Linked DNA regions of Alligator mississippiensis. The protein of the gene in region 2 interacts with the protein of the main gene of each other region in a pairwise test. Links are inferred from orthologs where the notes say so. Each region holds a gene or a part of one and is shown on either strand. Other genes may lie near its edges. The genes, in order: SMC2, TRAF3IP1, OLFM1 and FRMD4A.

Evidence for each region.
Region 1: the proteins of TRAF3IP1 (region 2) and SMC2 interact in a two-hybrid assay, tested with the Homo sapiens proteins (2 studies listed by BioGRID and IntAct). The link is inferred for Alligator mississippiensis from reciprocal best matches to the Homo sapiens genes TRAF3IP1 and SMC2.
Region 3: the proteins of TRAF3IP1 (region 2) and OLFM1 interact in a two-hybrid assay, tested with the Homo sapiens proteins (2 studies listed by BioGRID and IntAct). The link is inferred for Alligator mississippiensis from reciprocal best matches to the Homo sapiens genes TRAF3IP1 and OLFM1.
Region 4: the proteins of TRAF3IP1 (region 2) and FRMD4A interact in a two-hybrid assay, tested with the Homo sapiens proteins (2 studies listed by BioGRID and IntAct). The link is inferred for Alligator mississippiensis from reciprocal best matches to the Homo sapiens genes TRAF3IP1 and FRMD4A.

Annotation. Positions count from the first base shown.
Region 1 is NC_081826.1:165,751,850-165,759,118, reverse strand, and holds the start of SMC2 (structural maintenance of chromosomes protein 2), read left to right. Parts: upstream 1-4,250; 5' UTR 4,251-4,476; intron 4,477-4,523; exon of another isoform or gene 4,524-4,603; intron 4,604-5,462; 5' UTR 5,463-5,536; coding exon 5,537-5,704; intron 5,705-6,962; coding exon 6,963-7,112; intron 7,113-7,269. UniProt on the Homo sapiens protein: Central component of the condensin complex, a complex required for conversion of interphase chromatin into mitotic-like condense chromosomes.
Region 2 is NC_081827.1:183,388,390-183,395,894, reverse strand, and holds the start of TRAF3IP1 (TRAF3-interacting protein 1), read left to right. Parts: upstream 1-4,503; 5' UTR 4,504-4,504; coding exon 4,505-4,711; intron 4,712-5,960; coding exon 5,961-6,029; intron 6,030-7,505.
Region 3 is NC_081835.1:62,520,211-62,527,420, forward strand, and holds the start of OLFM1 (noelin), read left to right. Parts: upstream 1-4,194; 5' UTR 4,195-4,486; coding exon 4,487-4,636; intron 4,637-7,210. UniProt on the Homo sapiens protein: Contributes to the regulation of axonal growth in the embryonic and adult central nervous system by inhibiting interactions between RTN4R and LINGO1. Inhibits RTN4R-mediated axon growth cone collapse.
Region 4 is NC_081827.1:14,823,938-14,831,353, reverse strand, and holds the start of FRMD4A (FERM domain-containing protein 4A), read left to right. Parts: upstream 1-4,400; 5' UTR 4,401-4,769; coding exon 4,770-4,928; intron 4,929-7,416. UniProt on the Homo sapiens protein: Scaffolding protein that regulates epithelial cell polarity by connecting ARF6 activation with the PAR3 complex. Plays a redundant role with FRMD4B in epithelial polarization. May regulate MAPT secretion by activating ARF6-signaling.

The DNA.
Region 1 (7,269 bases), on a different chromosome or scaffold from region 2:
CCTTTCTTTTTAGCCTCAGGAGGTCTGCTAGATCCCTGGAGAGCCAGGGGGGCTGCTGTGCCCTCTTGCTGCCTTTCCTCCGAGATGGAATAGACTTAGTTTGTGCATTGAGGATCGCTCCCTTGAGGAGCAACCACTCTTCTTGAACTCCCCTCTCCCTGCGGTCACAGTCCCTTAGGGCCTCACTGACAAGCCTCCTGAGCTTGTCAAAGTCGGCTTTCCTGAAGTCAAGGACTTGCGTGTTGCTGACCGACTTGCCAGCTTTTCGGCGGATGGTGAAGGTGATCAGCTCGTGGTTGCTGTCACCCAGCTTCCCATCGATCACTAGGTCGCCGACTAGGTCCTCCCCAGTAGCCAGCACCAGGTCGAGCAGCGCTTTGCCTCTCGTTGGCCCATAGACTTCTTGAGTCAGGTAGAGATCATCCACACACGAGAGGAAGCTCTGCGACCGCTCAGATTTTGCTGAGCGATCCTCCCACGAGATGTCTGGGTAATTGAAGTCACCCATGACAACCATGGTCCTGGAGCAAGCTGCCTCAGCCAGTTCCTGGGCAAACTCCTGGTCTAGCTCAGGACTTTGGGTGGGAGGTCTGTAATAGACTCCCACCATTGTGTCCCCTGTGCCGTGTTCCCCACGGATTTTAACCCAGAGGGTCTCCAGCCGTCCACCCTGGTCGCCAATATCGGCTTGCAGGGACGCGTAGCTTTCCTTAACATAGAGAGCTATACCCCCACCCCTTTTCTCTACACGATCCCTCCTGTACAGGGTATAGCCATCTATCCCCGTGGTCCAGTCACGGGTGGAGTCCCACCAGGTCTCTGTGATCCCTATGACATCGTAATTGTTTGCACTGAGCAGGAGGATGAGCTCCTCCTGCTTATTCCCCAAGCTCCTGGCATTTGTGTACAGGCAGGCAAGCGCCCCCTGGGGGGCTCCTTCCTTGCCCACAGATTTTACCAGGGCTGGGGCTGGGGAGGGCTCCCTTGAGTGCCATGATCCGCTGGCTTTGCAAGATTTGCTCAGCGGGCCAGCAGTGGCGGTCGTGCCCCCGTCCCCCAGCGGGCTTAGTTTAAAGCCCGGTGGAGCAGGTCAGCCAGTCTGGCTGAGAAGAGCCTCCTCCCTAGGGGAGAGAGGTGGAGACCATCTCTTCCCAGCAGCTCGCTGCCTCTCTCGCCAAAGAGCGGGCTGTGGTCATGAAAGCCAAAGCCTTCCTGACGACACCAGTGCCGCAGTCTTTGGTTGACCACATAGATCCTCCTGTCCCTTCTCAGCCCATAGCCTGAGACTGGGAGGATCGACGAGAACACCACCTGTGCCCCCAGACCCTTAAGCCCCGCTCCCAAATCCCTGTAGCGCCTCATGACCTGGCTGGGAGTGCTCCGAGCCGTGTCATTGGTGCCCACATGAATAAGGAGCATGGGATAGCGGTCTGTAGGTTTGAGGAGCTTGGGGATCCTCTCCGCAATGTCCCGGATGCGGGCCCCCGGGAAGCAGCAGACTTGCCGGGCTAAGGGGTCGGGGTGGCAGATTGGCCCCTCCGTCCCCCTCAGGAGGGAGTCTCCCACAACAAACACCTTACGTTTTGTCTTGGGGAGAGCAGGGGCGGGAGCTGCAGTTGGGCCCATGTTGCCTGTGGGGGCCGGCAACTCAGCAGGCTCTGCTGGGGCAGCAAGAGGTGCATACCTGTTGCTCAGTTGTGGCGGGGGTGGGGCCTTGGTGCGGCGGGCCTTAGGGCCCTTGACCACCTTGGTCCATGCCCCTGGCTGGACACAGCAGGAGGTCCCAGAGTCCTCCTCTGGCCTGGAGGGAGACTGTGATCTACCCTCTGCCTCCCGGGGGAGAAGGGCCTGGCAGTAGGAGTCTATCTCCTGCTCGCAGTCCCTGATGGCACGCAGTCTGTGGACTGTGGCCTGGAGCTCCTCCAGCTGGCGCACCAGAGACCCCAAAAGGGAGCAGACCCCGCAAGGGGAGGTCGCCATGCTCCCAGGCCCCAGAGCCTGAAAAAGGGACAGGCAGCCCCCGCAGCCGAGAGCCAGGGGCTCCGTCTGCATGGAGCCCGGAACCAGGGGCTCCGTCTGGGTGGCCGTCTCTGAGGTGCCAGAGGGGGGGGCCGCGGAGCCCGAGGGGACCCTCGGGGTGCGGCGCTTGCCCATCCGTGTCATGCCTCTGGTAGGCTGGCTACGGCTGGGACTGTCTACCCTGCGGGGTGCGCAGGCAGGGTCTGGCGCCCTCCCGCACGAACTCCGTGCTAACTCACGCGCCGGCAGAGAAGCGCGCCTGTTTGTGCAGCCTGTTCGCGCGGCTCCGATCGTGTGGCTCCCTGGGGGGCTGGGCCAAGTAGGGGCCTGGGCGGGGCTTGACCCGGCCCGGCTCCACTCAGCTGCCGCCTCACACACACACACTAAGGGGTTAGCCCCTTCTCTCCACGGGCCCCGCTTACCCCGGCTGCGCTGGGGGTCAGCGGGGGGCTCCGCGGCTGCTGGAGGGTTTCTGGGGGGCTTCGGGGGAGCGGGGGCACAGCGAGCTTTCACCCGCGCGTCTCTTGCCGCTCCCGCGTAATATTGAGGTGGCAATCATCAAGCACCAACTTGCTGGACTGGACATCGTATGAGGATGCTCAACTCTAGACTTCCAAAACAAGTGCTCTACTCCCAGCCTAGTTGTGGCCTGAGATCTCACAGCAACGAAGAAAATGCTACATGGACACACTGAAGGCATACCTCAGGAAAACAGATGCTGACATCAAGAACAGGGAGGAGCTGGCTGCTAACTAACTCCGACAGCACTGCAACCTCAACTGAGAAACACCCTGCACTGAAGTAAATCATCCTGTCCTGAAAAGAAGAGAGAGCAGAGGAAGGAAAAGGAGAGGAAGCCCAGACTACGGCCTACTTTCTGCTGCAGAAAGACCTGCGACTTCCATGGACACGTCTGTGGCTCAAGGGTTGGACACTTAAGTCACTTCAAGACTCATGAAAGAGCTGTGGTAGAGATCATTCTCGAAGAGAGGGATTGCTAACTAGATCAGGTCTCCCTGTAGCGATGGACAGTGATATTACTGCTCTGGCTAAAGCTAAGCCACATCCATGAGTCACTGGCCACCAAAACCAAACCAAACCAAACCAAACCAAACCAGCCTTGCATGCAGTGCTGGTAATAATCACTTTGCAGATTAAACAGATGTAATGAGATTGCTGTTTCTTTGTGTCATTGTGGTTAAATACTTGGCAGAAATACTCATTTCCTGAATTCTAACAAGTTATTGCTGTCATTTCGTTATGGCTGTTTGCTCTGTGATTATTCCTGGCATTGTACAGGGCTCCATTGTCAGCATTAGTGCTCAGGATGCAAGACTACGATCACTGCAGTGCTGTCCTGTGCTACCATGGCAGTAGCACATGGATGGAGCCAGCTACCTTCTTCAGTTTGAAGTCACAGTAGATTTGCACCTTACAGACTAGCTAAAATCAGTGACATATAGCACGAGCTCTGAAATGAGCTCAGGCTCACAAAATCTTATGCTGCACACATCGTTTCTAAGGGTCAACCCTGTCCTGCCTTCCGTAACCTATGGAGTACTGCCCTAATGGCTCAGCCTTGCGCTCAGGGCTGGGATCAATTCCCTCTGCTAACAACCCAGAGGAGACCTGCAGCGTGAATATTCCCACCACCTTTTGGCTGCTTATCTTGCCAAATCGGCTGCTTCCTGTGGCCAAATACCAGTTTCCAACACCCGTTTCCTCAATTCTGTCTTCTCTGCGCTGCCAGACGTGGCTATGCCTTGTTGAGCATCAGAGCGCTGAAACCTGAGCAGGTTTTGCCAGAAAGCTTCCCTTGAGGGACAGGCCTAAACTGTGGCACTTGCTTACGAACTAGGCCGCGCAAGGCCGGCTCGCTACAGGGGCCCCTGTGGAGGGGAAGGGGAGGGTGGCTACACCCTAGCAAAGCTGAGGCAGGAATGGGCTTTGCAGGCCGCTAGCAGCTCCGCAGCGCGAGGCTGGGGCGCTGCGGCTACATCGGCCCGCGCACGCCCTCAATCACAGCACCAGCACTGCCCCATCCCCCGCGCACGCTTCTATTCTATTCTACCCTACCCCGCCCCGCTACTGCTGTTACGTCATCCTCTTGCGCCCGCACAGCGACGGGCTCTCTCAAAGGCCCCACCCACCTGTGTCCCTAATCAGAACGCTGAGCAGGGGAGAGGGAGGGGAAGGGGGTCCTTGCTGGCTATGGCTGACACCAGTAGGTGCCTGAATCGACGGTTGTTTTTTTAGCCTTAAGAATCGATTAAAAAATTAAAAAAAAAGAAAAAAGAAAACGTGCCGAGGCGGCGGGTGGCCGCGGGAGGGAGAGGCGCTAGGGGCGTAGCTCGGTGGCCAGTTCGTCCGGCAGCGCGCGGGACAGCCGCAAACGGTCGCCTCCGCTGGGCGCCAAAATTTGAGCGAGGCGACGGACGCTGGCGGTGGCGGCGGCAGGTGAGGGGGGCTGGGTCCGCGGGCAGTGGGGTGGGGGAGCCGCCTCCGCCTTGTGGACCCCGCGGGGCTGCGGCCGCCGTTCTGAGGGCGCCCGTGCGCAGCCGGCATTAGCCGTGCACGAGTTGAGGTGCGTGCAGGTAGGCAAGGTCCTGTGGGCAGGTGTGATGTCGTTTATCAGAGCAACTAAATAGTTGGGAAATTGCTGTTTGCAAGCTTGGGGCATAAACTTCCTTCTTCAGGGTGTGTATATCTATGTGCTTGTGTGCGTGCGCATGTTTATGCGTGCGTGTGTGTGAACCCGAAAGCTTGCTTAATAACTATTCTCCAACTATTTGGGTTGGTCTAATAAAAGATATCAAATTCACCCAAGGAACCTTGTCTGCCTGTGTATATAATATGCATGCATACGTGTGTGTGTGTGTGTGTGTTTCATTTACAGCGGTGTAGGTTGTAGCCGTGTTGGTTGAAGGACATTGACAGACAAGGTTCTTTGGGCGAATCTGATATCGGAGATAACAGATTCACCCAAAGGACCTTGTCTGTCTGTTTAATTTATGAACTTGTTATTTCAGCAAACCCCTAACCATGTGTAGAGTCACGCTGCGCTCTGAATGCAGACAGGCGTCCACAACATGCACACTGTTAAAGGAAAAATAAGTCGACTTTGCCGTCTTCAGGAAGATGATTGTCTTGAGGGGTTTTTTTCCCCCAGTAGCTGTATGTCTTTGCTGAGAAACATTCATGAGGCATGAATCCATACATATTTTATTGTAAATAACAGCTTGGGGGAGAGGGCCTTTGCCCTTTGTTGGACGAATGTCAATGTAATGTTTGGGCAGCACCCTGATGACTTCCCTGCCTGAGGGAGCAGCTACCATTGTCTGTTAGGGCAGCATTGTAACCTTTTCCATTTGCTTTGTGCTTTTGATTCTGTTGAATGCACTCTGTTTTGATTTGGTCTGCTTTTATTGTTTTGAAACCTGCAGCACTATAAACTGGAGAACTTTCCTCATCCCCCTTGAAGGGAGGCTTGGCATGGTCCTTCCGAGAGACCAAAAAGATGCATGTCAAGTCAATTATCCTTGAGGGATTCAAGTCCTATGCCCAGAGGACAGAAATCAATGGCTTTGACCCACTGTTCAATGCTATCACTGGCTTAAATGGCAGCGGCAAGTCCAATATCCTGGATTCCATCTGTTTCCTGTTGGGCATCTCCAACCTATCTCAGGTAAAGAGCAAGATGAAACACACGGTTCTGAATGACCATGAGCAACAATAAAATTTCTCCCTGTTGAACAGGATCATCAGGCAGCATCCTTTTCCCCCTTCACAGAATGTGTGGCTGGCTTTACTGTTTTGTTTTGTTTTTTTAACTAAAATGAGGAAGATTGACACTTCCTCTTCTGCACTCTGTGAAGATTAAAATTTTTCAATCCAAATCGGAGGATTCTATTGAGAAGTAAAAATGATGATGTGATCATTGCTGATGCCTCATTAGCAAGATTGCTTTACAGTCAGGCATAGAGTGCGTCCTTATCAAGGAATGTTGCAGCTGCTAACAATTCTTTTTCAGATGTTTTCCAGTTTGATAAACTAATGTGAATATATAGCTTTTGTAGTTGTACTAACAAAGCAATCCATTTCTCACACCATCAGGTATGATGTTTCGCCTAAGGCAGAAGTCATTTTTACCAACCGACTGTAAACTGAATGGTGGTCCCTTTTACTTCGCTTAGTTTTTTAACATGTAAAAATAATATAATTAGCTTGTAATAATGATAGCAATTAATTAGTATGCAGTCTGCAACCTAGAGCCATGGGACAAAAGTAGCAGAAGATTGAAATCATAACGTTTTTATAAAATAGAAATACAAAAGCAGATTAGGATGCTAACTCATTTCCTTATTATGCATGTGGGAATCTCTGGAGAATACTGTTAAATGATGATTTTTTTTATTTTATTTTTTTTTTTTTAGCAAAAGAGGCTTTTTATTATTTAAAAGCAAAGAATAATAACAATATTTAATAAGTAACACTATGCACATAGTACCATTTACGTAAGTAATATGTATGTTTAGGAAGATCTGTATCTACTTTTAGAATTGCTTAAAAGTGTGGTTTAGACTCAGTAATCCATTAGAACCTCAATGAATATTTAGTATAACATCTTTACAATCTCATATAGATGCCATCATGAAGAGAGCAGTGTTTTAGACTAGACCATCTTGCTGCGTATATTTATCCATTTAATTTTTTTCATTAATTTCTTATAAAAATCTTTAATTGACATATTAAAATTGGGCTGGTCTTTTGTATATTGTTTTATACTGCAGCCTTTTTTATACCTCCACAGTTTGTTCGTTCTTGAAAGTTACTAAGGTACATAAATCTATAGCATGCCTACTTGTCAGACATTTCAGTTGACTCCCCATTTGCTATTAATACAATGACTTTGTTAATCATTCATGTCTCTTCCATATTTTCAGGTGCGAGCATCCAATTTACAAGATTTGGTTTACAAAAATGGCCAGGCTGGAATTACTAAAGCAACTGTATCAATCACCTTTGATAATTCTGACAAGAAACAAAGTCCTCTGGGATTTGAGGCTCATGATGAGATCACCGTCACCAGGCAGGTAAGCTTTTAGCCTTTATTTGTTCAGAAATGCTTACAGATTTTTTCATTCTTCTTGATAGAAACTGAATTCAAGATGCAAGTATTTGCTCTTCGTTTTAGCCACTGCATGTTATACAGCAGGGATGTGCAACTCGCAGCCTGCAAAGGTTTAAGTT
Region 2 (7,505 bases):
ATCCAAGTCACAGCCTCTTAACTTGTTTACCAGTATGGTGTGGGATACCATATCAAAGGCCTTCCTGAAGTCTAAGTATACAACATCAACCCCTAGGATCCTAGACTTTGCCTAGGATGGTATAGATGGATGCATTTTATCTGGCCTTTGAATTACTCATTTTAAATAATTTAAATTATCCCTATAGCTGTAGGGGTTTAGGTTGTGGCCGTGTTGGTCTAAGGACATAGGCAGACAAGGTTCCTTGGGTGAATTTGATATCTTTTATTAGACCAACCTATATGGTTGGAGAATAGTTATTAAGCAAGCTTTCGGGTTCAAAAACCCTTCGTCAGGCTAAGGAAGCTTCAGCAGTTGGTGTGTGCTCTTCCTGGATGGAATGAAAAGTTTTCATTCCTCCCTATAGCTGCATTCACTCATAAATATGTTTAATAATTCACTCACAAATAGATGGTTAACAAACCAGGCTATCTTTTTGCCTCATGTTTTACCCAATATCGGGAGTGTCAAACATGTGGCCCACAGGCCAAGTCCAGCCTGTACAGCCAGGATATTTGGTCTCTGTGGCTCCTGGGAATTCAGGGATGGGGTGAGCAGGGGCTTTGGATCCCTGTTTGGGGTGTGCGTTAGTTGTGAGGGATAAGTGAGATCTGTGTTAACCCCTGCAGCTCTACCACTTCACCCACTCTTCACCCCAGCTCTGAGATGTATAACAACTGGAACCATATCTCTATCCTTATCAGCGTGATTTAAGCAGCCATTACTGGATTCCCTTATTGCCTCCACTCTTAACTCTCTCTCTTCAAACCCTCATGGTTGCAACCCTCACCCTAACTCAGTGGCCTTAGGCAGCTTCAACATAACTGTTGTCCAGAGAGCCCTACTGCCCCCAGAGATGGTGCCAAGCACTTAAATAGTGACTAGAGAAAGCTCCTGGGAAAGTCTAGGCAGACTGACTGCACAGCTCTTCACCTAAAGCTATTCCCTGTTACAGTTGCAGCAGGTAAGCACAACCTTGAGTGGGAAGGCACTTTATTGAAGAAATATACACTGTAGCAACACTTTGCATCAGCAGGAAACCACAATCTCTCCTTGCACTCTCCTTTTCTGGAGTGCAAAAGCCATGGAAAGAGGTCTTCCTATTCAGCCATGGGATACCTGCCTAGATTGTTCTCCAGTCCAGAGCTGGATTCTGCTGAGGTTACAGAGGGGACTGCGGCCTGGTAACCCTGCCAGGAGTTGGGCTTCCTGTCAGAGTGTTGAATGTTGCCCATTCCCCTTCTGTGGGCAGGCAGGGACTGTGACCACTGCTGTAGCAGCCAGCCTGGATTGTGGAGTATGTGCACCAAGTTCGTGGACTTCTGCTGGAGCTGTATACTGGTGCCCAGGCTTATCCCCTCTGCCTCCTGCCTTCCTATGCCTGTGGTACCCACATTTTAAAACAGCTGTTCTGATCCTGTGGGCTCTGACTATTGCCCTCCTTTGCTGTCCATATGGAATGGGTGTAGTCCAGGAGTGTCACTCATCCAGCCTTCTGGGCTGATCTACAGGGCCAAAAGAATGGTGTGTGGCTGGCCCTGTGGGCCATATCAGGCCCACAGACTTGCCCTTTACTCCCCTAGACTAGACCCAGTGCACATCTTGCTCCAGCCAGTCCAGGACTGGGGGAAAGTGTGTGTGGGGTGGGGGGGGATCATGTCTGGGTGTAACAATAAAACTCCTGCATGGTGTTGTATAGGAACTGAGCTGGTGAGGAGGTCACTCTGGTTAAAGCTGAGCATGCAACCACAAATTTTCTCAAAGCATAAACAGTGTCAATGACAGTGGGGAAAAGTATGTGTAGAATGAGAGGATGTGTGATAAGCAAGGTACGCAGGTATGGGTGTATAAATAATCTGTAAATAGCCAGTAGTAATAGTAGTAATAATAGCTATAAAAATAATGAATATGCAAGTAACAAAAGGTATAAAAACAGTTTGGGAACAAAGGGTCATTGGACACAGTGGCGACAAGTAGGGGGTGCACAGGGGTGCATGTGCACCCCCTGACAGCGCTGGTGTACACCCTGACAGCCACCATTTCCCGCTTAGGCAATGAGCTGGGGGGGCAGGCAAGAGCTCTGGTGCTCCCCCCCCGAGAGCACTGACCAGAGAGTGAGGGCGCCAGGAGAAGCAATCCCTGCAGTTCCCCCCTACCCCCCAGGGGTCGACGCGCCACTTCTGGGTTGGCGCGATTGGCCACAGGGGGACCCCCCCCCCTCGGTCGCTGACTGGCCACTGGGGGGGCAAGTGCCCCCCTAACTCAGGAGGCACCAATCGACCATGACTGGACAACTGCACTGCACTCAGTGGCAGGTGGAGGGGGATGAACTGGTGCATTGCACTCCCTTCCTCCCTGTTTGTTTCCTGGTCCATCCAAAGTTTAAAACCAATTGCCTGGCAGTGGCAGCAGCAGCAGCATTTCTAGTCAGGCAGCAGTGAGGAAGTCACTTGACTTTATGGCTCATTATAATCTACCAGAGTCCTTCTAAATTCTTCATTCAACAAGTGTTAATGGCTCTTCCTTCTTTTTAATGGTCTTGATGGTCCACCAAGCAAGCTAGCTTTTGTTATGCAATTTGCTGCTCCTGGTAACAAAACTCCTATTTCACAGCCCCCCAAACTGTTTTTAACTCATTCCAATGAAGACTTCTTTGTTGCGTCTCCAATCCAACCTGGTCTGTTCCCAGTATTCTGCACAGGTCGCTGCTTCTGGTGTTGGTGTTGCCAGACCTTATAGGGTACATTGTGGTGCCACAGGGCATCTCAGCAGATGATCCGCTGTTTGCTTCTCCTGAGAAACATGTTGGTTGCATAGAGGTCCCATGATTTCATGAGAGAGTTGCATCTTGCGAGACCCACTCTCAATCTGTTCAGGCTCCGCCATGTGTGCCATTTGTAGTTGGAGCCGGATGCCAACTCCTCACTACAGAGAGTTCCTTGCTGGTTCCGGTGAAGTTATATTATTCGAATGAAGTAATATTTGTTCTTGCTTCAGTCAAATGGAATAATACAGCCTTGAGCCCCTCGCATGTTAGTAAAGGTTCTAGCTTATTTTTAACTGGAGAAAAATCAGTGTTGTTTTATACACAATGAATCGATGCACCTCAGCATCTGCACTCCCTCCCCTCCTGGCCTTTCAAAATCCTATGTCCATGAGACCCTGTTTTCTCATGGGGACAGATAGCAAGACTTGCTTAAGATAGTTTTAAGGTAACTAGCGCATTTCTTGGGGTCAGAGCGTGCGCTGTCTGCCGAGGAAAGCTCCAGGAGTGGTGTGGAAACGTCTCCAGCCTTCTCTTCCCCCAACAACCCCAACTGAGTTTGGGGTGAGAGAGCAGGCTGGGAGATGTGGTGTGTGCTATGTGGGTGCCTGCTGTGGCAAATGTCCCTCTGTGGGCAGAGAGTGGCCTGGCATGTGCCACATGTGGGTTAAGGCCAGACTCAGGGGTAGCACCCAGGGGCCCTATCATGGCCACCTCTGGCCCAGCCTGAGGTGCCTCCAAGAGACTGCCCCCAAGATACTGCTCAGGGGCAGTCTCTGGGTAGCCTGGGTGAGCTGTGGCCACTGTTGCGAGTCTTAAATATGAAGTTATCATGTTGGAAGCTCAAAATGATTGCATTTGCTGGAAAACAATTGACAAATATGCAAATAAGTATGCAATTAAGTTGTGTTTTCCTTGACTTTAAATTGCTCACTCTAAGTCCCAGTGAGTGAGTGAGAATTGGGTCATGAAAGTGGGGGCTGTTCTTTATTTCCAGGTAAGGAGTCACCCCAAAGTGCGGCCTCGTGAAGGCTCAGATCAAGCGTAGTGGCTTCTGACCCTGGCAGGGGAAATACCATGTATCTGTGTCCAAGAAGGCAGCTTTCCTGAACCACCTGGCAGAGAGCTGCTCTTCTGGCGTGGCTCGGTACCCACTGAGGTGCAGCGGGTTTAAGCCGTTTATGGACATAGGAGTCCCCTCCCTTGTTTGCTCTGACGGCCGTATGGCTAAGGACAAGCAAAACTTGGGGGCATCCGAACCCCAAACCACTGGGCTTGGGCCTGCAAGTAGGATGCCCACCAAAGGTTTTGGAAACACCTGAAGCCCCAGGTGCGGGTGGAGGATGTTTGCCAGTAGTATGGCCACTTATGGTTCTGGACTCTTGGATTTGGAATTAGTTTTGTCTAATTTGACCTCGGATACAAATTAAATTAAAACAAAACAAAGAAGCCCCTGAGTGTTGCTTAAGACTCGTAACTTGGGTTTTGCGTCCAATTGCATCAAGTGGGTGCCTCAAAAATTATCATATATTTTGGACGCTTTTTTTATTATTAACCTTACCAGGGCTGACATCATTGCACAGACACACCCCTCGCGCACGCAGACGCCGGGGCGGCCGTTGCTAGGGCCGCGGTGCGGGTAGCAACGGCGGAATGCGGAGCCGCGCGTGCGCAGCGAGGGGGCGGGACCTGGCGCGGTGCATGCCGGGAGGCTCGGAGCCGGCGGGGCGGGCGCTGTGGGCCGCGATGAACGCGGCGGTGGTGCGGCGCACACAGGAGTCCCTAGGCCGGGTCATCCGCAAGCCGCCCCTCACCGACCGGCTGCTCTGCAAGCCGCCCTTTCGCTACCTCCACGACGTCATCGGCGAGGTGGGCCTCTTCGCCCCGTCTTCGCGTCCCCGTTGCCAGGTGCCGCGGGGGGCGGGGCCACGGGGGTGCTCGGGGCGGGCCCCGCCCCCTGCGGGTCTGGGGCCCTGCAAGGGCCTGGGCCTGGGGGCTTCCCCCTTGCCGCCAGCCTGGCAGCCAGCTCGGAGTGCGGCTCGGGGCGGGCAGCAGAGCAGGAGAACAGCAGAGGATGGGCCTGGGAGGTGCGGGGCAACTCTGTGGCTCCCCCCCACCACTGCTCTGAAGCCTGGTACTGCCCGTGGGAGACTCAGTTCCTCACTGGAGAGTAGGGTCCTCCACCAGCTTGTTCTGTGGCCCCCATCCCATCCCTTCACCTGCCGGTTTCCACCCCATAAACTGTTACAGGGGAGGTCCCATTCAGCCCCATCCTCCCCCCCCCCCCCCCCCAACCTCCGTGCTGCCTGATAATGGTGCACCAGCGCTGACCTGGAAGTGCAGAGCCCCTTCACTGAAGGAGATGTTAGATATTCGCATTAGTTCTTTTTTTCTGTTCCCACCTGAAAAGGAAAGAAAAAAAGAGACTTGGTAAAACCCTCTGTTAGAAACAAGGCAGGTACCAATAGGTGTGGCAGCAGCAGGAGGAATCAGGACTGGGTTGAAAACACCCAGGCCTGTGGGTCAAAGTCATGAGTTCCTGTGAACAAGTGAATGCAGGAATTTTCCAGACTAAAGTGAGTGAGATGTTAAGCACCTGGGGAAATGTGTCCGAATTTATTCTTCAGAGAATGTCATGCTGCCCTAAAATTAAATGAATACAAAATACTGACCGACACCTTTCAATGAATATGTTGACGTGAGCGAATGACTGACTTCCCTCCAAATAGAATAATAGAAAATGAGGGTTGGAAAGGACCTCAGGAGGTCATCAAATCCAACCCCCTGCTCGAAGCAGGAGCATCCTCAACTAGATCATCCCAGGCACGGCTTTATCTAGCTTGGTCTTGAAAACCTGCAAGGATGAAGATTTCATCACCTCTCTGGGTAGCCTGTTCCAGTGCTTTATTACCCTCCTTGTAAGAAAGTTTTTCCTGATATCCAACCTAAACTTCCCTTACTACAACTTGAGAATGTTGCTTCTTGTCCTGTCATCTGCCAGCACCGAGCACAGTCTAGCTCTATCCTCTTTCCAACTCTGCTTCAGGTAGTGAGTCAAGCTAACAGATTTGCCTGCTGGAACCTTATACAAGAAAATAGTGTTTTTGCTGAGGTTTTCTAGCTGTTCTCAGTAATTTACCTTTCCTTTGTTTTGAAGGTAATTAGAGTGACAGGTTTCATGAAGGGGCTATACACAGACTTTGAGATGAAATCTGATAATGTTAAGGTGGGTATGAAATTTCCTTATTTCATTATACCCAGCATGGGCAGTTACTCCTGTGTTGTCATACCCAGTTTCATGTAACAAACCTATCTTTCTTTTACAGTTAATGTTTTGGGGGAATAGCCTCAAATGTAGCTTTTCTGAATATATGAGATGGTGTCTTGTGGCAGGACCTAAATTCCCCGATTGTGGACAAGAGACCTATGGTGCTACATGCTGTAGAGATACAAAATGATTTTTCATTTCTGCACTGAGCATACTGGAAGTTAAAGATACAACACCATTAAAAATAATAACTTAAAAACTATGACTTCTGCTTTTTAGGTTCTTTTTTGCCCATTATACATCCACAGACAACTTTCCTCTAAGACTGTATTTTCTAGGGCTAAGGAGGGGATTGTTATGTTTTGTTTTACGTGCCCCAATGGTTTGTCTCTGTTTTTGTTGATATTTTAATGCGTATACAATAACTAAGGATGATTCAAAAAATAAGTATAAGTGTTTTGAGTTGCATAACAACATACGTTGTATGAAAGAATGGCAAATCCTTTTTATGTTTACAGCAATGTGATCTTGCGGGGGGTTGTACAGTGAAGTGTATTATCTGAGTGTGTGCTCTTTTCTGTTCTGAGAGGTCAATTTTACTACAGCTTGAAAAGACAAACAAAAATTGTATCAGCTCTTTACTTTCACTGTTGTAACTAGCACTGCTCTCTGCAGTGAATTAATGATATTTCCAGAGATGCATATACAATGCACAAAGTGCTTTATTCTACCCATATTATGAGATGTGCTTTTTCAGTTTGTCTCCACATGCAAGTGGGGAAGTTGTGCCTACTGACAGATTTTCTGTCTATGGAGAGTAGTTATTTTTGTGCCATTTCCCTTTAAGGCGAAGTCTTCCATAGGTAATTGAACTCTTGGGCAGATGGTACCCATGTAAGGACCAGTGATGCAATATGGCCACCCTACTCATGCTGTTCCAATGATTGCTTTAGTCTTTGTTCACATTTGAGCTGTACTGCATCCTTGAAGTTGTATTGATCTCTGGAGAGGAACCATCTCACTGTTCCCTCATCCCTAAAATAGTGGGTTTCTGAAGTCCTTGAAGGGAAGTGGGCAAGATGAATGAATCGCCATCATTACAAACCTAACACTTATAATAGGCTTTTTTGGCAAACAGCTACTTGCCTGATATGCATGATGGATGGTTAACCCTTGATACCCATTTCAAGTGCTGTAAGTGCTGTGCAGCAGTGTCAGTTGTATGGCTCAGCAGCAGATCAGGCTTGGTAGACAAGAGCACTGGCATTGTTTCACAGCTGTTTGTTTTATAGTTTCAAGGCTTCTGTTAGCAGTGGAGAAACAGACTGGCAGTTGGTTGATTGAATCATCTGACTTTGAGAATGGCAAGGACATTGGTCTGTAACCTGATTGGTATATTTAATGCAGCTTAAGCAGTGCCTTCAATATTGAGAT
Region 3 (7,210 bases), on a different chromosome or scaffold from region 2:
TTACCCTTTTGGATAAGCAGAGTGAAATACCCATCTCTGCTAGAAGATGGCACTAGAATTCAACAATTGCATCGACTCCCAGGCCACGGAGTTGCATAACATGCATGTCGGCTCCTGTTCTGCATTGCCACTTCTGGAAGAAACTATCGATTTGCTAACACAAAGTTCAGCCCCTTTGACTCCCTGCGATATGCAAGCAAAGCAGTGACCTCGCACTCGTGCACCGTTGTGCATTGCAGGTCAATGAAGGAGGTGAGAGGGGATGGGACAGCTTTCTTTGTCTTCATTCATCCTGTTCTTCCTCATTTTTTTTTCTTTGCTACTGCAAAATGTGAGAGGTGCAGAGAGATTTTGATGCCTATTTTCTGACCGACGGCTGTGATCACTTCTTAGGAAGCATAGGGGTTGATCATCGGAGGACACATTTATGGCTGTATGTCAGGACTGCCTGTACATGATCAAAGGATTCATTTTGTAATCTCTTTTTCCTTCCTTTTGCATTTAGTACTTATGTTTTACCCCTGGGTTAACGTTTAAGTGAAGGCAGAAGTGAGGGTTTCTATCAGAGGGACGCTTGGTTTCTGAAGTCATTGAGAAAGTTATATAAGCCTCTGGAGAACATCTTCGTTTTTAATCTGGAATGAGTTCAGTTTCCTTATGGGGAAGATGATTTCAGGGAAAATGTTTTGACAATGCCACCAGCACCGTTTCCAGTGCAATATCCATCTGGCATCTTAGTTACGGTTTGCTTTGTAGCTGGGCAAATTAATACAATACGGGATTTTTTTCTTAAAACACAAGAGTCCTGATCTTCTGCTGGTGTCACTCTGTGTAGCTCTACCGATTGCAGGGACTTGGACCAACTGAGGTGCTGGCCTGGTGTGTGTTATGACTGTACCTGTCTACCTTCAAAGTGATCAAGCCTTTTCATTTTTGGAGAATGCCAACTTTGGTTTTCAGCAGGAATTTAGCAACCCCGGCTATGTGACGTCTCTCCCTCATTGAAGTCCTAAACCAACGGTGCTGAACCTCTTTCAGTCAACGTACCCCTTGGTCTCAGAGTGAGACTTCACATACCCCCTTTCAATGGGAAATTAATTTTTATGTCAAGCTACGTGTAATCGTGTATTATAAAAACGGCAAGATACTCGTACAAAACTTCAAATTGTCAAGACTTTTTTTAGGTCCTTTGACCTGTGCTAGACAATGTATGAAATGTATCTCATGTACCCCCTGGGGGTACATGTACCCCCCGGTTCAGAACCGCTGTCCTAGACTCTCACCTTGGGGGACTTGTAGGATGCTTTATAGATCTTACAACCTCAGACTCGTGCAGTAGAAATGATGATATACTTCTGAAACCCCTGGCCTCACACCACCATGCTCAGCGATTGCAAAAACCCACGGGAAGAGGTGAAGCTCATCTTGTTCCCCCACATTTGCCAGTTGTATCTTGCCCCGAGCTTGTAATCCCTCTGCAGAAGCAGCTGCCTTTTTCGGGGGTGCTGGGTATAGCAGCCAGCACTCCCGAACCTCAATCCCAGATCAGGAATTGGTTGTCATACAAACAATGCAGTGCCTCCTGAGAGTTATCGAGGGGTTTTGGCAGGCAGGGAAGTATCCGGAGACCCACTTAGAATTGAAGACGGTGGGAAAGTACTCAGAACTGGAGCTGCCCGCTTCAGACGCCCGCTATCTTGCATGCCAGTGTCCCACCCTATCCATAATGGATCCTTCTCTCCTTCACCGAGCTGCCTGTTGCCTCCACCTGCTTTCTCTGGCCCAAGCTATAGAGAAACTGAGACATCTTTTGGAGGTCTTCCACCTCTGGATGCTCTCTAATGGATGGCAGGGAGGAGAGCTGAACTTCCTCTGGAACAGCGATAATGGGAAGTCAGGCGGGGAGGGGAAAGGGTAGACTGGTACAAATAAGACTGATGCTGGTGCCCGATTTGCAGCCTGGCTGGAGGTTATGAATCCGCGGAGAAAACATTCAGTGCACGTTGATATTCAGTGCATGTTGTGATACCTGAAAGGTGCTTTCATGTGCAAGGCAGAGCAGGGAGAAAAGGAGCCATGGAGGGAGCCAGGAAGCACTTGGGGTCAAAGTCCGGCTGAGAGCTCATTGCTGCGGGGTGGCAGAGGTGACGGCTTTCCCCACCTCAGCCTTGCTGCTCTGCTCTGGCTGCTTGGGCAAGCCTGTGACGCTGGCTTGGGGGCAAAACCCCCCTCCTTACTGGGGGGAAAAAAAGAAGGGGAGACACAAGGATGGCAGCAAAGGTGGCAGCTTTTCTTACCCCAGCCTTGCTCCCTACTTTGGCTGTCTCAGCAGACCTGTGAGGCTGGATCAGGGGCAAAACCCCTTTCTTGGCTGGAGGAAAAATGCAGGGGAGACACAGGGACAGCAGCAGAGGTGACACCCAGCCTTGCTCCCTGGCTCTGGTGGTCTTGGCAGGCCTGTGAGGTTGGATATGGGGCAAAACCCCCTCCTCCTGGGAGGGAACAAAAAGTAAGGGAGATACAGAGATGGCAGCACAGTTTCAGCTTTCCTCACCCCAGCCTTGCTCCATACTCCAGCTGTCTCAGCAGGCCTATGAGGCTGGTTGGGGGGCAAAACCCCTCTCCTGGCTGTGGGGGAAACAGAAGGGGAGACACTGGGACGGCAGCAGAGGTGACTCCCCAGCCTTGCTCCCCAACTCTGGCTGTCTGTGCAGGCCTGTGAGACTGATTCAGAGACAAAACCCCTCTCTTGACTGCGGGGAGACAGTGGAGGTGACACCCCAGCCTTGCTCCCCAAGTCTGGCTGTTTGGGCAAGCCTATGAGGCTGGGGAAAAAAGAAGGGGAGATGCAGGGACGGCAGCAGAGGTGCCCCCCAGCCTTGCCCTTTGGCTCTAGCTGCCTGGGCAGGCCCGTGAGGCTGCCTTGGGGGCAAAATCCCCCTTCTTGCTGGGGGAAAAAAAGAAGGGGAGACACAGGGATGGCAGCAGAGGTGCCCCCAGCCTTGCCCTTTGGCTCTAGCTTCTCTGTGCAGCTGGATCAGCAGCAAACCCCTCTCTTGACTGGGGGGGAAGCAGGGGAGGCAGCAGCAGTGATACCCCCTGCTCTATGTGCCCCGTGCGGCTGGATCAGCAGCAAACCTTGACTGGGGGGAAGCAGGGGAGGCAGCGGCAGTGATACCCCCAGCTCTATGTGCCCGGTGTGGCTGGATCAGTAGCAAACCCCTCGACTGGAGGGGAAGCAGGGGAGGCAGCGGCAGTGATACCCCCAGCTCTATGTGCCCGGTGTGGCTGGATCAGCAGCAAACCTTGCCTAGGAGGGAAGCAGCAGTGATACCCATGGCTCTATGTGCCCGGTGCCGCTGGATCAACAGCAAACCCCTCTCTTGACTGGGGGGGGAAGCAGGGGAGGCAGCAGGGGTGATACCCCCAGCTCTATGTGCCCTGTGCGCTGGATCAGCAGCAAACCTTGACAGGGGGGAAGCAGCAGTGATACCCATGGCTCTATGTGCCCGGTGTCGCTGGATCAGCAGCAAACCCCTCTCTTGACTGGGGGGGAAGCAGGGGAGGCAGCAGGGGTGATACCCCCAGCAATATGTGCCCTGTGCGCTGGATCAGCAGCAAACCCCTCTCGACTGGAGGGGAAGCAGGGGAGGCAGCAGCAGTGATACCCCCAGCTCTATGTGCCCGGTGTGGCTGGATCAGCAGCAAACCTTGACTGGGGGAAGCAGCAGTGATACCCATGGCTCTATGTGCCCGGTGCCGCTGGATCAGCAGCAAACCCCTCTCTTGACTGGGGGGGAAGCAGGGGAGGCAGCAGGGGTAATACCCCCTGCTCTATGTGCCCTGTGCGCTGGATCAGCAGCAAACCTTGACTGGGGGAAGCAGCAGTGATACCCATGGCTCTATGTACCCGGTGCCGCTGGATCAGCAGCAAACCTTGACTGGGGGGAAGCAGGGGAGGCAGCAGCGGTGCTCCCCGCGGCTCTGGCCGTCTGCCCGGGGCACGGCTGTGCCCGCGAAGCCGCATGCCAGGCGGGCGAGCCCCGGGGCTCGGGCTGCAGCCAGGGGGCTCTGCGGAGCCGCGCAGCCGGCGCCAGGCAGCGGAGGAGGGGGTGGGCACAGCAGCCCCAGCCTCTCCCCCCACTCCCAATCCCTCCTCCACCTCCTCCACCTTCACCACCACCACCACCACCACTCCGGCAGCAGCAGCAGCAGCCTCCCGCCTGCCTGCCCCGGCTCGCTGGCTGTGCTGGCTGTGCTGTGCTGTGCTGGGCTCGGCATGCCCCAGCCCCGGCGGAGGAGCGGGGCGCCGGGCTGCCTGCGCCCGCGCTGAGCGCCGCGCCCTGCCGCTGCCGCTGCCCGGGCCGGGGCGCGCCCTGGGCCGGGATGCGCGGCGGCGGGGCCCCCGCGGCTGCCCGGCTGGCTCGGCTCGCGCAGCCCCCGGCCGCCCGGGCATGAAGCGGGGCCGGAGCCCCGGCGCGCAGAGATGTCGGTGCCTTTGCTCAAGATCGGAGTGGTCCTCAGCACCATGGCCATGATCACCAACTGGATGTCGCAGACGCTGCCCTCGCTCGTGGGGCTCAACACCACCAAGTTGACGGCCGCCACGGGGGGCACGCTGGACCGGAGCACGGGAGTGAGTGCCCAGCGGGGTTAGGAGCTCTGTGGGGGGGGGGATGCAAAAGCTTGGGGGAGACTGCGCGGTGTACCCCCAAACCCCTGCAGCAAAGTGCATTAGCTCCTAACAACCCTGACTCTTGGGGGCAAAGCGGATCTCTTTTCTTAGACCGAGGGGAATAGTTGGAAGAAGAAAAAAAAAAATCAAACAACCCTTCTTTCGGGTTTAAATCCCCTCGGGATGCCAGGGGAGCATCCCCCTCCTGCTCTGCAAGGGCTGGGATGAGGATGGGCTTTTGCAGGGCTCAGGGGCGATGGGCTGCAAAAAGCCTTGCTTCTCCGGGGTGTTCGTGGGAAGGGGGAAGGGGGGCTGTGCTTGAGACTGGGTTCGGCTGCAGCTGCGGGCAATTTCGGAGATTTTTAGGGTCGGAAGGGACCTATTGGATCATCAAGTCTGACCCCCAGTTTGGTGGGTGCACATTGTGCAGTCCAACCCCCAGTTGGGTGTGTGAAGATTTGTAGTCTGACCCCCAAGTTGGTGTGTGCACATTGTGCAGTCTGACCCCCCAGTTGAGTGTGTGCAGATTTGCAGTCCGACCCCCAGTTTGGTGTGTGCACATTGTGCAGTCTGACCCCCTAGTTGAGTGTGTGCAGAGTTGCAGTCCGACCCCCAGTTTGGTGTGTGCACATTGTGCAGTCTGACCCCCCAGTTGAGTGTGTGCAGATTTGCAGACCGACCCCCAGTTTGGTGTGTGCACATTGTGCAGTCTGACCCCCCAGTTGAGTGTGTGCAGATTTGCAGTCCGACCCCCAGTTTGGTGTGTGCACGTTGTGCAGTCTGACCCCCCAGTTGAGTGTGTGCACACAGTGCAGTCCGACCCCCAGTTGGGTGTGTGCACATTGTGCAGTCCGACCCCCAGTTGGGTGTGTGCAGATTTGCTACCTTAGAGGAAGGGCACGGTAAGGGCACGTTCCCAGCCGACAGACTGCGGGCTGGGCTGGCTGTCCCCTGGCCAGCCTGCAACCGTGCTGTGATGCCCCTCTTAGCTGGCCATCCTGTTACATAACCTGTTAGGCACCAATCTCCTGCATAGAAATACTGGGGTTTGCACAGGGGTGAAGGCAAGTCTGGAGGTCCCCCCCGCTGGCACTACTTTTCCCTCTATTTCGGCCAAGGACCCTGGTCGCAGGGTCCCCCTCCCAGAGCTGAGGCACTCACATGCCTCCAATCGATAGTCATTACTGGTTGGAAAATGCAACAGAGAAGTTGCAAGTGTATTTCAGCCGGGTCTTATTGTTCCACTTCCTTCCCCTGAAAGGAGACTATAGATTCTGCTCTTATCTATTGGAATTGGCTAAGGATCACACTCCTCCTTACCTCCCTGAGCAGGAAGGCATTGACAGCTCGCACCTCCCGGCTGCAAGCTTCTGTCTCCATAAAGGATGTAGCATGTAACAGCTCCACTGTTTCAAGATGAAAAGTATTGAAGGCGGCATGTCTTTGCCCTGGGAGTGAAGCGGGTAGCTTCTGCCACGTTGCCAGAACGGGATTGACCCAAAATCATTTGGACCGCTTTACAGAATCTCTCTCTCTCTCTGCCCCTGCGTCTGTGTGTCGGCTCGGCTATTTGCAAGGTTATAGAGAATATATTTAATCAATCAAAACAGCATTTTTTTCACCCTTCCCCCCTCCCACCCCTTGCTTGGGGATGCTGCTTTCTTCCAAGTCATCAGAAACGAGGCTCTGATTAAATAATGCACCGTGCAAAATGTTGCGTGATCAAAGGGAATGGAGATCACCGGTGCTTTTGGGGCAGAACAGGGTTGGAAAATGAGCGTAGTTCGGTTGCTGGCTTCCTTTTCCATCGGTGCATTATGGAAGCCCTGCTGGAGAGGCTGGCTACATCCGCAAGGCTGCCTCCTTCCTTAGCTGGCTGGCTTTCACAGGCAATGAGTCTGGGATTCCCCTTCCATGGATTTGCTGAACCCTTCCCAAAATATTGCAGTGCTGGCGAGGAGCCTGGCAGGGCTGGTTGGGGCTTGGGGCTGGAGGGTGAAAATGCAAGGGGCCTTTTACTGTTCCAGGCTAATTTTCCTGTTTCAGGATCTTGGAGAGCTCTGCAGATGCCCATTGATTACAGCTTAGCTCCAAGGAGGCTGTAAACTCCCTCTTAGCTTGGGATGCACTTCATTCTCGGCGTGTCAAGGAGGAATCGAGTGCATCTTATTCATCAGCTCTCACCCAGCCACCGTGTGCTTCAGAGCTCGCTCAACTAGTGTGTTACAGCAGGCTAACCAGACCCTACTACCCTGATTTTCTCTGCTACATACCATCCCCCTGGTCTCCCCTGCCCCATCCCTATTCATCTGCTTTGGCTCTTGCTCTCTTTTTCATACCACCAGGCACAGAGCTAGTATGTCCCAAATCCATATCTTTGCATTGTAAATGCTTTCTGTCCTCTCCTGCTAGCTGGGCGTTCAGAGAAACCTCTCCTCTGTCTTCCATGAGATACATATCCATAGCTCTTTTGCACTGAAATAGGGTCCATGCCTGTTTCTTCTCGTGTACCATCTCCTCATGCTCTGGCTACCC
Region 4 (7,416 bases), about 170 Mb from region 2:
TCTGCCTTTACAGCGACACAACAGAATTTAGAGCCTGGTCCTCAGTCCTATGCAACTGAAACTCTCCGTGGGATGAATCCTGCGGTTTTGTCTTCTGCTTTATTCCCTCTGCTTTTCCCCACATGCTATGATAAATTGTCCTAAGGTAACCCTGGACATTGTTTCTAATCTGTGTTACCTAGCTTCAGCTTCCTACCACTGCATTGTTACTCCTTTTTTTGCTAGATTTAAGAGTCATGTGCATAGAGCAATCTCTTCCCTGCGTTGTCCAGCTAGTAACTTGTTGGATACTGGCAAGGAAAGGAAAACTTCCTTTTAATGCTCTAAGTGCCATATGCCACATGCACACTGACCCCTCTAGATGTATAAATACAAACATGTAGCAGCGCTCAGTGGCCCTGGGAATGAGCCCTTCATCGTTTGGACCCTTTCTTGCGTGTTCATGCAAGAAAAGGCTGTGCTATGGAAGTAGGCAGAGAGAAATATGGAGAGTAAAAGACTTTGGATAATTGTTTCCAAAACAACAAAGCACGAAGCTCCAACATGAAAGAGACCTTTCGGCTTAAAGGCCTCATCCTCTTATCATTAAAAAGAAATAAAGATCAAATAGTGACACATCTGATACAAAGATTTGGTCTTAAAAGAACAGATCAGTGGCTTTGAGCCGTAACAACCATCAGGGCCAGCTGTGGAGCAGAAAGAGGATGCATCTTGCTCATTTATTGTATGTTCAGAGAAAAGCTACAAAGTTTCCCCCAAACTCCAGTTTTTTTGCACGCTATTCTCATAACACAGTCAAGAGGGGAACTACTTGAGAGCCCATTAGAGAGCAGGGCTGATTTCCTTATTCCAAGGACCAGGCAATGCGGGTGACTTGAAGGGAAAAGATGTCCTCCTCATCACCAAGCTTCCGAATGCAGACACCATTTACTTGCATTTGTACAGGTCATTGCATTTCCACTTAGTCTGTTCTGGCATTTTGTTGAAAAGGACCATTTTCCTCCTGTTTAGCTCAGGTTTGAGAGCCTGCCCTTCACCTTCAGCTCTCACTGACAGTCAAATGAAGCAACACAATGGACTGGATTTTTTTTCTTCATGGAAAGAAATGGGCTATTTTTATATCCTAGTAACAGCCTCTGGACCGTCAGTAAGATGTGGGAGGTTTGGAAGTAAATGCTTTCCCTGACATTTTCTCAGATGGCAGGAAATAATCAGTGCATAATTAGAGAAACCGATGAACAGATCTGTGTGTGTATATGTGTATACATGCCTAGCTCTGTCCATCATACATCTATAAATTGCACTGCAATTTATATATAATCTTCCCTGTAGATTACCAAGGGGTTGAAACCCGTAGGATTGTATAGAAATGTAATGGGGTGCTATAGGCACGTATTTTGTGTATGCCAGCAGAGGATCTGATCGGCTGTGCAACTAGATCTTCATTTCTGCTCCCCATCTCCCCGTGATCTCACAAGGTCCCTTCCAGCCCTAAACTTCAGTGAATCTGTGACACTCTCCGCCGGCCTTTCCAGATGCCTAACAGTGCCTCCCACTGGACACCAGGTGTGATGGGGGTGACTGGAAAACCAAAAATCCCATTTCATAAAGCTTGTTGACTTTGAAGAGACACGTTCAGAAGCAGACGGCCGTCCGGACAGGTTCCTCTCCTGGGATGTAGGAGACCGGGTCTAAATTTTTGCTTTTCCCAGGATCTGGGATCCCCCCCAGCCTGAGTGATTGTTTTGATCATCAGGGTGTTGTGCTTTGCCTTTCTGGCTTTGGCCCAGAAATTCCTTCGTGGACTCGTGAAATCTTCCGACGAAAGTCTTACTGAAAACGATAAGCTTCCTTGAGGAGTGCTGGATTTCCTTAATCAGCAGTCAGATGCTCCTTTAGGAAATTCCTTGACTTGTAACAATGCTCCAGGCAAAATCCTTTGCCTAACTTCAGTCTGGGAGTCCTAGACCTACGCCTCCGCTAACCAAGCCGAAGAACCAGCTCCCTCAACTCGGAGGGATCCCCGACTCACAAACCTTTCATGCATGGTCAGCCCATCACAGGGAGACGGAGCAGGGCATCTAATGTGAGTTACGGTACAGCTCCACGTGGCATAAAGTTGTGCTAACTATTGTACAGCTCCCTTCCCAAACTGCCCTCTCCCCACAGTTGGCCTCTTCTGTGCCTCCATGAAGGATGGTTGCTAATAGTGTTACCCTCCCACTCGGGAAGGGGAAGTCTCAGGGAGAGAAAGTACCTGCTCAGCTCTGGGGACTGTGACGTGTCTGGTTTCTGTCTGAGAAATGCATGTAATCTGGACTCCATCAGAAGCTGGTCCTCTCAGCTGAATCCTTGTACAGACGATGTTTAGCTTTGCCAAAATAAAATATCGCACATCAAATTAGCAAGGAAGGATCTGTAGGAATCTGACCAAGCTGTTCTCACCAAGGACTTAAATTTGCATGTTCAAATGGTCGCACGTCCAGCTGACTCCCAAGGACTCAGTTCCAGTCTATTGGTTAAATACTTCCTTTTGCAATCGTTGCGTCAAGTCACATTATGTAACCCAGCTCTTCTAGAGCCGTTCTCATCCATTGGGTAATCATATACTTGGGACACGGGGGCTGCCTATGACCAAAATTCCCCTCCAGAACGGCCGGCAAGGCTCAGCGCACATGTGGAGTAGCTAATTTTAAAGCAGCAGCATAGCCTCCATTTCCCTTCTCCCCCTTTCCGAATGCCAAAGCAGTTAGATCACGTTGTGGAGCAGTCGCTTTTGAAAGTTATTTCCTCCTCCTTTTCTTTTAATCAAACACATTTCTTTTTCTTTCTCTTGTGTTTCCAGGCAGGGCTCTTATATGCTGTGCTGTAGCCTAGAGCAGATGTTTCCTCATCAAGTTTATTTAACAAAAAAAAAAAGCCTTCTCCAAATGGGGTTTTATAATGGCGATGTTGCTAGTCCCCTGTCAGTATTTTTAATGATGGGGACAATGTGTTACTTAAATTACAAACAGGCAAAGAAATCAACCCAAGAAGGAGACAGGAAAACGGACATCTGAGATTCAGAGGCGGGGGGCAACACGGGACTAAAAGACAGACCCATAGGAAGAGAGAGAATGATGTGCTGCAGCACAAATAGCATCTACTAAGTTGGAACGAAATGCTATGATTTTTATGACACTGCTATAAAAATGATGTCCTGGAGAAGCAATTAAAGCTGTGAACATAAATTTTGCCGCTCTATTTTGCTGGTGTTACACCTGCCTAGTCAACGAGCTGTTAGAGGTATTGTACTATTATTATTATGTGCCAGTTTGGATTGTGCTTTCTGGTCCTCCCAGATCAAACTAAATATATACTGAGTCAGGACATATATATAAAACCGTGGAAGAGCAATCAATATTTGCTGTTTGAGCACGTGTTTGCTCGCTACCTTGTTAGATTGCTTGAGATATTCAGGCTTTGAACAAGCCATGACTGCTTCCACAGCAGCCAGATTCATGGCTTTCATTGTCTTGGTGCTCAGCCTCGCAAAGCACCGCTGCCTCATTTTTTCAGAGGTGCTGTAAGTCCTAGTGACTTCAGTTGGGGCTGCTCAGCATGTCCTCTCAGCTGCTGGCCAGACCAATCTTGTGAGGTGTTCACCAACTAACCCCCATTAGCTGTGAAATCAGGCCCCATAGGAGTTATGTAGTCTTTTGTCATTCATCCTGCAACACCAGCAACAGCTCTGGTGGCGAGTTGGCCCCTCAGTGGCTCTTCCACTGACTCGTTCTGTGGCCTTATGTAGGACACGTCACTTCTGTGTCTCACTTTCCATGTCTATGAGGTGTTGAGACTGGCACCTTCCCAAAGATCTGCTCTGTATTAGGAAAGTTGTACCAAATTAACGACACGGCGCTTTAAACCACTAATTTAATGTAAAACCCTAATTTATCTCTTTCACCCCAGCTTCATTTGGTGATGGAAGCTGAATCATGCTAAGCAAGGGTCAAACTGGTTTCAGTGTGTGTTTGTTAAGGGCACCAATTTCAGCTGATTTTGGTCAACCTGTGCAGGTGGTTTAATAGAGAGGCACACCCTTAGCTGAGGTTTAGATCAACATAAGTATTGCATGAACACTAAGTGCCAAGAGGAATCTGGAAAGTGTAAAGACTCTAGCAGTGCCTACTGTATACAAAATAAAAATCTCCAGTAGTCCTTCATCAAATTTAAATAAAGGAATAAAGAATAAGAGGATAAGATGCTGCACGCTGCAAAGCCATCCTCTCAGCTGTTGTTTTGTAGCATTTGAAAGAGTTAAGCCGAAGACTGGAATGTCTTGGGAATGTTGGCAGGGGGAGAGAGCAGCTTTTTTTCCTCCCTCTGGATGGGATCCCAGTCCTCTGAAAGCAAAGTGATGACTTTGGATCTAAGTTTGTTTCTGGGTTCTGCTGCTCGGAGCTGGGACGCGAGATGCAACGTAACCAAGGAGCCCTTTGTCAGGGATGTGAAATCGCCTGCCTCGCGCGGGACTGATATTTTTACCCTGTCCCCGATGATCTCTGGGTGCAGCAGAATTTGATTTGAGAAGATACATGCAAAGAGAAGCTGTTTCCTGACGGGAGCGGGGGAGGAAGAATCCCAGCTGATTTATTTTGGCTGCAGCCTTTCTTTGCCGCCTTGCTGAAACTTGCTGTGACATTTTAACCTTGCGGTCCGTAAGGAGTCTAGGAACTCACTAGCCACCTCAGCTTGGGAGCCCTGGGTGCTTCACACAGGTAGTTGGCATGGCTGCTGTCCTCTTTGGCTTTGAGGACCTGTTCTACAGCTGGGACAGCCTGGTGTGGAACTTGACTTCACGGGCTTTGAGGACCTGCCGCTTTGGAAATCTGAGGGTCCTGCAGCTGATGCTGAAGCCATGGTGCATTTCCAGAGCTGTCTACCAGGTAGGTGGTTTTGCACCACTGGGCCAAATCATGAGGCCTTTACTCAATCCCTGCACGGGGAAATTCTCAGGGGGCCTAATCCTGCAAAAAAATGAACTCCATGAGCTTCCCATTGCAGTCAGTGAGCACTGAAGATGCTCAGTACTCATAGGAAGAAGTCTAGGGGCAGAATAACAGGGTTTGAGGTCCCTGGGAGCTTTTCTGAGTTGGAGCAGAAGCCTAGATTCTGCTTTACTCAAGCGGAGGCACGTGCAACCGTGTTAGTAAAGGAAGGGGCAGATTCTGGCTAGGGATCTCTTAGTATTTGGGGCATCCTGGATAGATTCTCCTTGTGAAACGAGGCTGCTCTTTGCCAGTCTGCTCATGCTGTGGGTTCCTGTTTCTTGACTAATCCTAGCTGCTGGACAAACTGCAAAGTATTATGTAGCATGAAGAAATCTAGCCTTGCAGAACTGTAACCTGCATGCAGTAAATAAAATGAAGGGCTGACTTTAAAATATAACATACATCACACTAGGCAAGCCCTAGGTATCATTCAGCTTTGGGAGATTCGATTCATTTGCTTGCCTGTTACATATTTTGTTTGGATGGGGTTATAAAAGCCCAACCACAATAGTGAAAGTGGGTCGGATGATTTTTTTTTTGTACCTGGGTTAGTGAATTTTCTGGCTAGTTTTGCAAGGCTGTCTCAATTCATTGAGGTAAATGCTATATATAACCTGAGGTAGGGCTGGCATTGTGCGGACAAGGTATGTTGTTAGCTCAGCTTTAGGCAAGTAACTTGAGTTCAAATACAGCAGTAAAGACTTGGATACCTTGACTTTTAATTCAGGTGGCAGTCATGGGATATCAAGTTGCTATCTTAATCGTCTTCCTAGCTGGTTTCACTTCAATTAGCCAACTTGGATTAGCCAAGAACAGTTAAGAATTCATTTTTTTTTATTGTTTCCATATCCTATAATGTCAGAGTATTCATTGGTATTGCAGAACTGACCAAGAAACTTGAGAACCCCAGACTTTGGGTTGTGTGATCAGTGCTTGTATTTGGGGGAAAAGGTATTTTCTGCTAGACTTATTTGCTTGGTTTGAGTTATTTCTGGGTTTGGGAGTTGCTGTGTTAAGCACAGCTGCACATAATGGGCCTGATTCGAAGACCATTGAATGTGTCCATCCCCAGTAACTTTGTGAACAGATTCATAGTGTAGTTTAGGAAGAAACAGGTACAGGTAGTGAATTTTTTAAATGCTAATTTGCCCTAGGGCTAGTGAATGGTCCTAACAACTCAAGCCATCCTAGAAAATCCTCTCTAATCCCTTTTTCTAGTTGTAGCATTTGCATCAGATGCAGCTCCTGACATCTGTATGGAAACTATTGCAATCAGTTGATGAATACTCCATGTGAGTAAAGGAAGACACTCTAAGCCAATGTCTCCCAATGTTTTCCAGCCCAAGGCACACTTACATTAATTAAAATTTTCCATGGCACACCTGTTAAGGCATGCCCCATCCCCATACTTATGAGCTCATTGTAGCTCACTGCCACGGCAAAATTCCACCTGTTCATTTCTGACGGCATGCCCTTGTGTCGTGGCACACTGACTTGTTTGTCTCTGAGCTTGCCCAAGGAGTCATTCTCCTAAACAGGGCCTAAATAGCATTGCTACCACCCGGTCTGTTCTGTTCTACCAGAGAAATGGCCTTGGCAAATACTGGGGGACTTGCACTAAAATTTGGCATCGATTTGGGATTGGATGAAATAAGCAGCTCATTTCTCCAGCTGTACCTGCAAAGCTTTCCCACATCCACAGCTTTCTTTACTTGCTATCTATCACTTATTAGTTGCAAACTCTCTTGCACCTCTGAGATCCAGAAAGGAATGGAAGCAGAAGTGATAAAATAGGACGAGCAAGACTAGGAGAGATGAACTGGTTAGATCACTTTGCTCAACAATAAGTCATCAGTGGCTCAATGTCTGTTTGGAAAGAGGTATCAAGTGGGGATCCCCAGGGGTCTGTCCTAAGTCTGGTATTTTTTTCAAATTTTCATGAATGATTTGGATGATGAAAACGAGTCCACACTTAGGAAATCTGCAGACAACATGAAATTGGGTGGAGTTGCAGACAAGTGTAAAGTCCTGCACTGGGGATGAAATAATTGCATGCACAAATGCAGTCTGGGGAATGTTTAGCTTGGCTGCAGTACTGCATAGAAGGTCCTGGGGGTTACAGTAGACATAACATTGAACACCTTCAAGAGAAAATTGGATGCTTATCTTGCTGGGATCCTATGACCCCAGCTGACTTCCTGCCCTTCCAGCGGGGGGCTGCACTTGATGATCTTCCGAGGTCCCTTCCAGCCCCAATGTCTATGAAATCTATAAGCTGAATGAGCCAAATATGAACCAGCAGCACAGTCTAGTTGCACAAAAGGCTGACAGCATTTTGGATTGCATTAACAAAAGTGTTGTTTGCAAATCAAGGGAAGCTATT